Callithrix jacchus: one gene and its partner. The protein of the gene in region 1 interacts with the protein of each later gene in a biochemical or structural test. Links are inferred from orthologs where the notes say so. Each region holds a gene or a part of one and is shown in the gene's direction. Other genes may lie near its edges.

What was found. The genes of interacting proteins can lie anywhere in the genome.
Region 2: the proteins of FBXW7 (region 1) and KLF5 form a complex in vitro, tested with the Homo sapiens proteins (2 studies listed by BioGRID, with this or other methods). The link is inferred for Callithrix jacchus from reciprocal best matches to the Homo sapiens genes FBXW7 and KLF5.

Annotation. Positions count from the first base shown.
Region 1 is NC_133504.1:44,161,132-44,166,504, forward strand, and holds the start of FBXW7 (F-box/WD repeat-containing protein 7), read left to right. Parts: upstream 1-2,150; 5' UTR 2,151-3,144; exon of another isoform or gene 3,145-3,235; 5' UTR 3,236-3,311; intron 3,312-5,373. UniProt on the Homo sapiens protein: Substrate recognition component of a SCF (SKP1-CUL1-F-box protein) E3 ubiquitin-protein ligase complex which mediates the ubiquitination and subsequent proteasomal degradation of target proteins.
Region 2 is NC_133502.1:42,203,804-42,208,631, reverse strand, and holds part of KLF5 (Krueppel-like factor 5), read left to right. Parts: intron 1-231; coding exon 232-1,105; intron 1,106-2,195; coding exon 2,196-2,255; intron 2,256-4,828. UniProt on the Homo sapiens protein: Transcription factor that binds to GC box promoter elements. Activates the transcription of these genes.

The DNA of each region.
Region 1 (5,373 bases):
ACTCTGATGTTTCCACTCTTTTCCGTCAAAGCCCACAAAGCTTAAACTCTCTGAGGTGCTTAGCTTCACAAAATCCCCTAAATCTGTGTGTTTTACTCCTTTAATTTCCACCATTCCCCTGCTGTAATATAGGAAGAGGGGGGAAAACAAAAAATCTTTATATGGTAGCCATGTGAGACCATTACTTTTTGGTCTGATTAACTGTGAGTCTCATTTGGAAGGATGTAGCAGGGGATTGGTCATGTAAAGACAGAAAGATCCAGGGTAATTTAAGCAGGACTTTTTTTTTTTTTTTGAGACAGAGCCTTGCTCTGTCACCCAGCCTGGAGTGCAGTGGTGAGATCTCGGCTCACCGCAACCTCCGCCTCCTAGGTTCAGGTGATTCTCCTGCCTCCGGAGTAGCTGGTGTGATCTGCCCGCCTCCGCCACCGCCTCCCAAAGTGCTGGGATTACAGGCATGAGCCACCGCGCCCGGCCTTAAGCAGGATGTTTAACCTGGCTCTTGCAACTTCAGGTCAAGGGCAGTAAGGTCAGATGCTAAGTCTGTGAGACTCTCCTTGGTTTTGCCACATCCTCCTTTGCCCCTCCCACCACCTTTCCTGTAGCATTTTAATCAACAGGAGCCCTTGGATTTACCCAGTTAAAATATTCCTTAGTTTACCGTTTGCAGATGGTGGTGGCAGTAGTGGCAGAAACCCAGAGCTTCCCAAATTTGTTTATAATACACTTGCTCCTATCTCACCCCTCCTCGAGGTGGAAATACTTGTAATATCCATTACTACTGTTTTCAGAGGAGGTGGAATGTACTAGGGTCCAGCGACATAATTGTGAAATTTGCTTTCATTATTGTTGCTGCTTTAATGTCTTTCTGATACGATTGACCATTCTCATGCTATTCACTCAAGACAGATTTCTCAGGATTCGGATCCTTTTATTAAAAATTTTTTTTCCTGGAGAACTACACTTTAAACTTCATGAGTTTTTACTTGACGTTCCTTTCCAGGATAACGTCTGTAGGAAAAGCTGCACTAATAGTAATAATATTTGTTTTAGAAAGAAAATAACCTTTGAGTCAGACCTGAAACACAGGCCAACATTTCTTGATGACACTGTACACTGATGAACCAAGACGAGAAGCTCTCGAAAGCTCCAAACCGTAAGAAAGAACGATTCGTAAAAGTGTGGCACTACTAATGAAATTCTTCCCTTGAGAGTCAAAAATCCTTCCACAATCTCCCGGATGATGGTTCCCTTCCAATCCTCCCTCCCCGCCGCCCTAAAAATCTGCCCGAGGATGGGTTCCTTCCCCTGCCCAGCATTTCATCTCCTTTTCCACTGAAGACTCAGGTTGTGACTCTGTACTCAGGCCGCACCCCTGTTTCCTTTCATAGCTAGGGGGAGGGGAGGAATGTATTACAACTCATTTTTACAATGCACTGCAGTTTGAAAAGCGCTTGCACTTCCACCATATCCTATGAGCTTCGCGAGTGCCACGTGAGGAGGCATTCATTCATTCATTCATTCATCAAACATTTGCTCTGCCCGACCACACGTTATCCAGCGCTGAGTCTCACCCCACGCCACGGGAAGGGTGGGGCGCTCTCTCCCTGGGGCAGGTGCAGTGGATCAGGCCGTGGGGTAACTCCTCGATCAGTCCGGCTTTTCGAGGGCCTGTTTGGAGCCAAATGCCTCACCTTCGGGTGGTGCGCGCAGTTGCCTGAAGGCGCGGCCTGGGCCTCCTACTTCCTCCCAAAGGAGCAGTCCCACCTGCCCCGCAGGAAACCGCTACAGAGCAAGCTCTCCGGGCCGCCCTCGGGTCAGGGGTAAGATCGGGCGGCAGCTTAGGCTTGTCTCGGCTCCTCCCCTTCCTCTCTTCAGTTCTGACGCGGCCGTAGAGGCTGCAGCAGCGGCGGCGGCGGCTGCAAGTCCCGCGGCCCGAGGCGCACCCACCCGCTCGCCTATCCCCACTTCCTCTTCCCTTGGAGCGTCATCAGAGCGCGCCAGAGGCGCCCAGGGCGGGGTGGCTGGACTAGGAAAAAAGGCCCGCGGAGGAAGCCTCAGAGCGGAAAGAAGAGGGAGGGGGAGGAGAGCGGTTGCTAGGTGACTTGCGTCATCTGCAGGCGCCGCTCTCCTCCCGCCCCTCTCTCTCTAGAGTGAGGCGAGAGCCCCGCACAGAGCGAGGGAGACAGCGAACTGAGCTCCGGGCGCTGCCGCCGCCGCCGCCGCCGCCGCCGCCGAGAGTAAGAGCGAAGGAGCATCCGAGAGACTCAGCCCCTCTGCACTGGCCGCCGCTGAGACCTTCGCCCTCACCTGGGTCAGCGGGAGCCGCGGCCGCACACCTCTCCCCCCCTCACCTTCCCGGCCGGCAGCAGAGGCTGCACACGCCGGAGCCGGAGCCGGAGCCGGAGCCGGAGCCGGAGCCCGAGCCCGAGCCCGAGCCCGAGCCCGAGCCCGAGCCGGAGCCGGCGGCTTGGGGGGCAGGGAGGCGGCTACCGCGGGCCGGGACTGGGTAGCTGCTCCGCGGTGAGAGAACGCTGAGGAGGCGCCGGAGCTTCTGCCTCGTCCCGGGGCGTGGGGCGTGGGACCCCCAAGGTGTAGGGAGGGGGGTCCCAGCCGCAGCGACACATGCAGGAGCCGGGAGCGGGGGCGGCGCCGAGCGGAGCCGGCAGGGTCCCCCGCCTCGCCGCCGCCTCGGCCACCCGCCCGGGTCCGTAGCATCTTGCCCCGGAGTGTATGAGCCGGGGCCCCAACCAAGCTCTGCAACCACCCCCCCGGCCGGGGGGACTGGGACCCCGATGTGAAGCAGCGGCTGGGGCGGCGGAGAGAGCGGGACCGACGCCGCCGTCCTTTCCTCACCTTCCCCCTCCCCTCAGCCCCCTTCGGGGGTCTTCTCCCTTGGCCAGTCGCCGGCCCCCCGGCTCCTTGGCTGGACTCCGGGAGGAGTTCTTAGAGCCCCCCTCCCCCGCCCCAGCCCCCAGGGCGGCGGGGCCGGGGGGGATCCGGGGGGCCGGCCACAGCCTCCGCCCAGAGGAAACTTTATAAAAACAAAATCCAGAGCCTCCCAAACGTGACTGTCCTGGGAGAAGTGGCCCTGGACGGGCAGGAGTCGCAGCCTGAAAAGACCCAGGAAGAGGAAAAGAGGAGGTAAGCGGGGCCGCCGCCTCCTCGCCCCTGGCAGCACGGAAGAGACCCGAGTGGCCGCCTGGTTTAGCGACACGAGCCGCTTCTTCCTCAGGACCGCGCTGCCGCCTCAGTCCGAAGGAGGAAGGGAACCAGCCCACTTTCTCGGCGCCGCGGCTCTTCTCTAAAGTGTGAGTGGCCCCGTGAGAGGGAATTGAGGGGAGAAAGTGGGAGGATGCCGGCGCTTCCTCCTGGAGTTTTGCTGATGTTCCCAGGAGTGTTGGGAGTCACAAGAGGGTCTAGCTTTATTCACAGAAGGGAGAAGGTGTTAGGGAGGCCTGTATTTCGTAACTTTTTAACTCTGTACGAGTAATGCAAGTATGCAGGTTTCTCTTGGAGGAGTTCCTTCTTCAGAGTGAATACTCGCACCTTTCTGGCCAGTAATTGGCAAAGGGAAATTGAGGAAGCCAGAGGATGTGTGCGCACAGAGGCCATCTGTATCTGTAACCTTTTCCTGGTACTGTGGGTGTGTACAGTGTTCTTTTTGTTTCTGGGGTACTCTTATATAGGACCCCCGAAAGCAAAATTCCCTTTTTAAAAAAAAAAATGAAAAAACAGTCTTGGGAGATTTTCATTTAGTACCTATTGATACAGGAGTTAATCTTCTCAGTTCCTGGGTCTGTGTGTCAGGAGACACTGTAACAGATTTCACTTAGGAACTTGATTTCTTAGGAATCACAGCTTATCTGGGGAAGAGCATTTATCACATTAATCATTTTATAAAAGTGATTTTTTTCCCCTTCACCAAGTTTTTATTTTTTTTGGAGTAACATCTTAAATGACAACACTTTTTAATTTTGTTTGAGGTTTTGCTATTTTGTATTGTCTTTATTTCTGTATCAATTTAGGATACACTTTTGATATTTAATTCTTTCAGGAATGACTTTTTCCTTCCATTGTTTTAAAGTTGAAGTCTATAAAACCTTTGACTTGCATTTTAGTAATGTTCTCAAAGTACCAAATTAAAGTTTCATGGAAGTAATTAACATATCATATACAGTCCTTAAGGGTTAAACATAGAGTAGAATTTTATGTAAGCAGGCATAGACAGTACTATAGTGAGAATTGTGGTCCGTCTAGACAACTGTGTGGGCTCCTTCTGTCTGAAGCCACTGCTGAGAGTTGCTTTGTGGTAATGAATGTAAGCCTGGGGTTATCAGTCTATCTGAAGTTCTCCATTCAGGATCTTGATTAAATTTATTTAAAACTCAAACTTAACAATGTTTGGTCCTATTCTTTTAAAGTAATGAGTTCTGCAAGTTTATTAGCCTCTGTATTATGTGACAATTCATTTATAAATTCCATAGGCAATTTATTTATATATTCCATACCTGTGTCCATAAATTTTCAGGACACAGCCAGAGTTTGTGTTTCGAGAAATACCAGAACAAGCCTCAGTTCATCTTTCCTTACTTTTATAGTGTTTTATTATTTCTACCATCAGTTTCTCCAACTCTTGTCTTAGAATAATGTTTCTTATTTCTTTGACCACTTTTTCCTCCTCTGGAACTTCTCCCACTGTACTGTTTTTCTTTAGTTGCCTTACTATGTTTTGGTAAGGAACCTTAAATTCTGTCTTTTAAGTGTGTACTGACATGAAAATATTGAATAGTGGATGTAATGTTAGACTTAGAATCAGAGTCATGTATTTTGTTTTTCACAAAGATATGATAAAGAGAAATGTAGTCATGTAGAACCTGTATTTTGAGAAGGAGGGGAGGACAAACTAAGAAACAAACTGTAGTTTGAATGTAGGTTGCATTCTGTCAAAGTTGCTCACTAACTTTTGGACTACTTGTATTGCTTTAACTATAGATTGGTTAAAAATTTTGGTAATTTTATTTTATGTTATTTTGAGATGGAGTCTCTCTCTGTCACCCAGGCTCGAGTGCAGTGGTGCAGTCTTGGCTAACTGCAACCTCCACCTCCCAGGTTCAAGCGATTCTCCTGCCTCAGCGACCCCAGTAGCTGGAACTACAGGCGTACGCTACCATGTCTGGCTAGTGTTTTTGTATTTTTAGTGGAGATGGGGTTTCACCATGTCAGTCAGGCTGGTCTCAAACTCCTGACTTTTTTTTTGAGATGGTGTTTCGCTCTTGTTACCCAGGTTGGAGTACAATGGCGTGATCTCGGCTCACCGCAACCTCCGCCTCCTGGGTTCAGGCAATTCTCCTGCCTCAGCTTCCTGTGTAG
Region 2 (4,828 bases), on another chromosome or scaffold:
GAGGTGATTGAGGGAGCAGTTTTACCAGTTACACAGAGTTTCATAAGGTTTTGGTCAACCAATTATATTACATAATTGATTAAATAAGCCTGATATGTTTTTAAGCAACACGGAGAAGTTTGCCCTAATACCTCACACAGGGATTGGGAGAATTTTAATAGGCGCCGATTGTCCTTCCTGAGACTGTGCATCAGGTGGATTATGCATGTTTGTATCTCTTCTCTTTTTTAGACAAGATGTGAAATGGAGAAGTATCTGACACCTCAGCTTCCTCCAGTTCCTATAATTCCAGAGCATAAAAAGTATAGACGAGACAGTGCCTCAGTCGTAGACCAGTTCTTCACTGACACTGAAGGGTTACCTTACAGTATCAACATGAACGTGTTCCTCCCTGACATCACTCACCTGAGAACTGGCCTCTACAAATCCCAGAGACCCTGCGTCACACACATCAAGACAGAACCTGTTGCCATTTTCAGCCACCAGAGTGAAACGACTGCCCCTCCTCCGGCCCCAACCCAGGCCCTCCCTGAGTTCACCAGTATATTCAGCTCACACCAGACCGCAGCTCCAGAGGTGAACAATATTTTCATCAAACAAGAACTTCCTACACCAGATCTTCATCTTTCTGTCCCTCCCCAGCAGGGCCACCTGTACCAGCTACTGAATACACCGGATCTAGATATGCCCAGTTCTACAAACCAGACAGCAGCAATGGACACTCTTAATGTTTCTATGTCAGCTGCCATGGCAGGCCTTAACACACACACCTCTGCTGTTCCGCAGACTGCAGTGAAACAGTTCCAGGCCATGCCCCCTTGCACATACACAATGCCAAGTCAGTTTCTTCCACAACAGGCCACTTACTTTCCCCCGTCACCACCAAGCTCAGAGCCTGGAAGTCCAGATAGACAAGCAGAGATGCTCCAGAATTTAACCCCACCTCCATCCTATGCTGCTACAATTGCTTCTAAACTGGCAATTCACAATCCAAATTTACCCACCACCCTGCCAGTTAACTCACAAAACATCCAACCTGTCAGATACAATAGAAGGAGTAACCCTGATTTGGAGAAACGACGCATTCACTACTGCGATTACCCTGGTATGTACTCTACCTGGTTGAAGAGACAGTAGATGGGTGGGGAGAGAGAGTGTGAGTGAGTGTGTGTGTGTGTGCGCGCGCGTGCGTGCGCGCACACACGCATGCATCCTTTTCAACCTCATGGCTTTAAATTTACATAGCTAAGTTGTACTTGACAGTAAAAAAATTACCTACTTTTTTTTTTTAATATCCATCTCTGCTTTTCTTTGGTATGTAAACAAGTTAGTTGTCACTTATTTTATGTACCAAAAACTTGGCTAGAATATTCTGGAAAAAGTTCCCTTGGACTTTTTTGTCTTTAATATTAAAAGAGATTTTAATTTCTAATATATATCATTTAGAGTTAGGCCAGAGTTACTTTAAAATGGCAATCGAATAAATTGCAGGTTTTAATTCTAAATTAAATGCCCCAGAAAGAGATCAAGTAGGGTAGGGGAAAATAAGGATTAATAATGAAGTGGAGGTTGTAGCCAGCTAGCCTGATGGAGGTACAAGACTGTCTACAGGATAGATTTAAGAATGGCTTTGATGGCATGTGAGCATATGCTCAGTTTTGAATGAGATACGTGGCTCAAAGTATAAATTGATGACAGTACATGGAATATATCTACAAGTTACTGGGAAAAGCTAGTTTATAATTAATACATTGCAAGATTTATTGACTCTGATACATGATATGGCATGATGTGCTAAATGAAAAAAAACGAAGTGTGGGAGTATAGAAAATTAGAGTCATCTTGGATAATGGCTTAGCACTGTCAGCTCTAGAGCCATTAAAAACTTTTTAAAAACATATAGTAACTCTTAAATTACTGAAGTACAGTACCTACTGGATTATTAAGACACATTTTCCATTTGGCTTGGTTATCTGTATTCTTTCCTGTTAAAGTGATACATAAAACAAATCATTTTATGCTTTTAATAAGGTAATGGGGGGAGGGCTCTTTAAAACTTTTAAAACTGAAGCTTCAAATAATCTCATCTACCATGAGAGATTTCTTCTTTAAAGCCAGATTTTAAACACTGAATCATCAAATGTAAAGATTTCAAAAGGATCTCCAAAATGACACACTGTTCTCCTTTATTTCAGGTTGCACAAAAGTTTATACAAAGTCTTCTCATTTAAAAGCTCACCTGAGGACTCACACTGGTATGTAATTTTCTTGTTAATTCTGTGAGTTGTGTAAATAGTGTAAGTGGTATTCATCCTTTTAAAAGCCAACACGTGTTTGATCTCTTCTTTCTTCTGTAAACTTTTTTTTTTTAATAGCCTACCTTTTCAGCATGGGCTTGGCTCAGATTCAGTTCCATGAAAAATCTGGTTCCAGGAAAGCCAGTGATGTTCCCTCACTAAGGCCTTCTTGCCCTGTCACCACTCATAGAATTGATTACCCAAAAATGTAAACAACGATGTTTACTAATGGATTTTTAAACTAATAATGGCAGTGTTTATTGTTTTTTGTTTTTTTAAGACACGGTTTCACCATGTTGGCCAGGCTGGTCTTGAACTCCTGACTTCAGGTGATCTGCCTGCCTCAGCCTCCCAAATTGCTGAAATTACAGGCGTGAGCCACCATGCCTGGCCCATGGCAGTGTTTTGAAGGAAAGAAAAAAAAAATCTCATTTTCTTCCATAGCAAATAATTTTGCTTTGAGAAAGCCATTTTAAACTCTAAACAACTTTCCCATTTAGCATGTACTGCATAATCGCTGAAAACGTTATCTTTAGTTTCACCTCTAGGTTAAAATATCTGTGTTTAGTATGTTTTCTGTGCTTGATGAAAGGTAGGGATGAAATTGCAGAGTATTAAAATCAAGTGGTCAGAAATGGGTTACAAGCCCCAGCCCAAACTTGGCATGTTTGAGAGACTTCATCTTTATTCTAGCTTATATTTTATTCTTGTTTATATGTGGCTTTAAGTTTAACCCCTCTACTTTTGTTTTTGCTTTGTTAAATCTATAGCAATCACTTTTTTTTTTTTTGAGATGGAGTCTTACTCTGTCACCGGGCTGGAGTGCAGTGGCGCTCAACTGCAACATCCACCTCCCGGGTTTAAGCCATTCTTCTGCCTCAACCTCCCCAGTAGCTGGGATTACAGCCCACTACCACACTCAGCTAATTTTTGTATTTTTGGTAGAGATGGGGTTTCACCATGTTGGCCAGGATGGTCTTGATCTCCTAGCATTGTGATCCACCTGCCTCCCCTCCTGGCATTATAGGCATGAGCCACTGCACACCCGGCCAGAAATTTTAAGAGCTTTTAAATTTTTAAACTACATCAGAACCCATTTTAAGATGAAACAAGGTGGCATACTTTGAAGGCCCCCCAAATACTCCAAATATTTTCAAATATATAGATGGTTACTATTTGTGATTTTCTTAAAAGAGCAACCCTAAAGAAATGAACTTACATAAAGCGATTGTGTTTTTTTCCCCTCAATAAATACAGCCTTACCTAAAGTTCAGAGAATAAGTTTGCTAATAAAAGCAATGACCTAGCAAAATGTATTATTCCATCATTGCTATGGAAACCAAAGTATTCAACAGTTCTTTGAATGGGTTGTTGGATTAGTATGAGGACTTGAATCTCCCCAGGCTAGATGTTACTATGGAAATTGAGTTTTGATAAATGAAGTAGTTATCTCTAACTGCTGCATTAAAAAGTAAAAGCCTTTGAACAAAGGTCAGTGCTGAGATGGAGCCCGAAGAGGAATATGGTTGCTGACATTTTGTATGCATGTTAGGCAGCATTGCTTGATATCCCAGTGATAAACAGTACCTATTAAAATCCGATGACAGTGTGGTAGATTCCAGGGCTTTTTGAGAAACTGCTTGTAAAGAAAAGACATCTTATGTATTTATCTATGAAATAAGTGGCTGTTTTGGCCTGGGGTTTTTGCATAGAGACAAACTGATTGCATAAAAGGAAAGATCCTTCATAAGCAGCCCAAGGTAGAAATTTTTATAAACACAAATGAATTAAGCATGTAATAAAAACTCCAATGTAAAGTTTTCAAAATACACATGACAAGTGCCAGGAAAATATTCCATATAGAAATACTAAAATGTCCTTTTACAGAATATAAATGGAAATTTAAAGACATTTGAACTATTGTTTTTTTCTCTGGTGGAAGTCCTTGAAACAGAGATAGGAGGGAAGGAACACATTTTCATGGGGTTAAAGTCTCCTAATAAAAGAGTACAATTGCATATAACGATGCAATCAACTACTTATTGCAGGGATGTAGTCAAACCCATATCTGGATAGCCTTTCAACCCTTGTCAGTATAAGAATGCTTATACTTGCAATTCAGGAGCTTGACCTGCTGGCAAATACATTTAATCGTGGCTTGTCTTAACAATGCTTGTACTAATAAAAACAGACTAAAAAGAAGACCGAGGCCTGGTTTGGGTCACTTGCATCAACTTTTTCACCTGACCATAAACATTGTGGCCTTCAACAACTAATGAATGAGAACATGTAATCCAGTTTAATAAAGTTTTGTTTGATAGTCTTTCAAATGCCTTGGGGAGGGTTTGTAGCAGACTTGTTCATCTGGCTAAACCTGTTCTTGGGTAATCATAGAGCATTGAGGTTGTTTTCTCCTCATTTCTCGTTTCTAGACAATGCCTTTTAAAATTACCTGTGCTCTCATTGCATCCTCCCTACCCCACCTGCCGGTTGTTTTTAAATGAATGTATCTGAAGCCAGCAAAGGTTTTT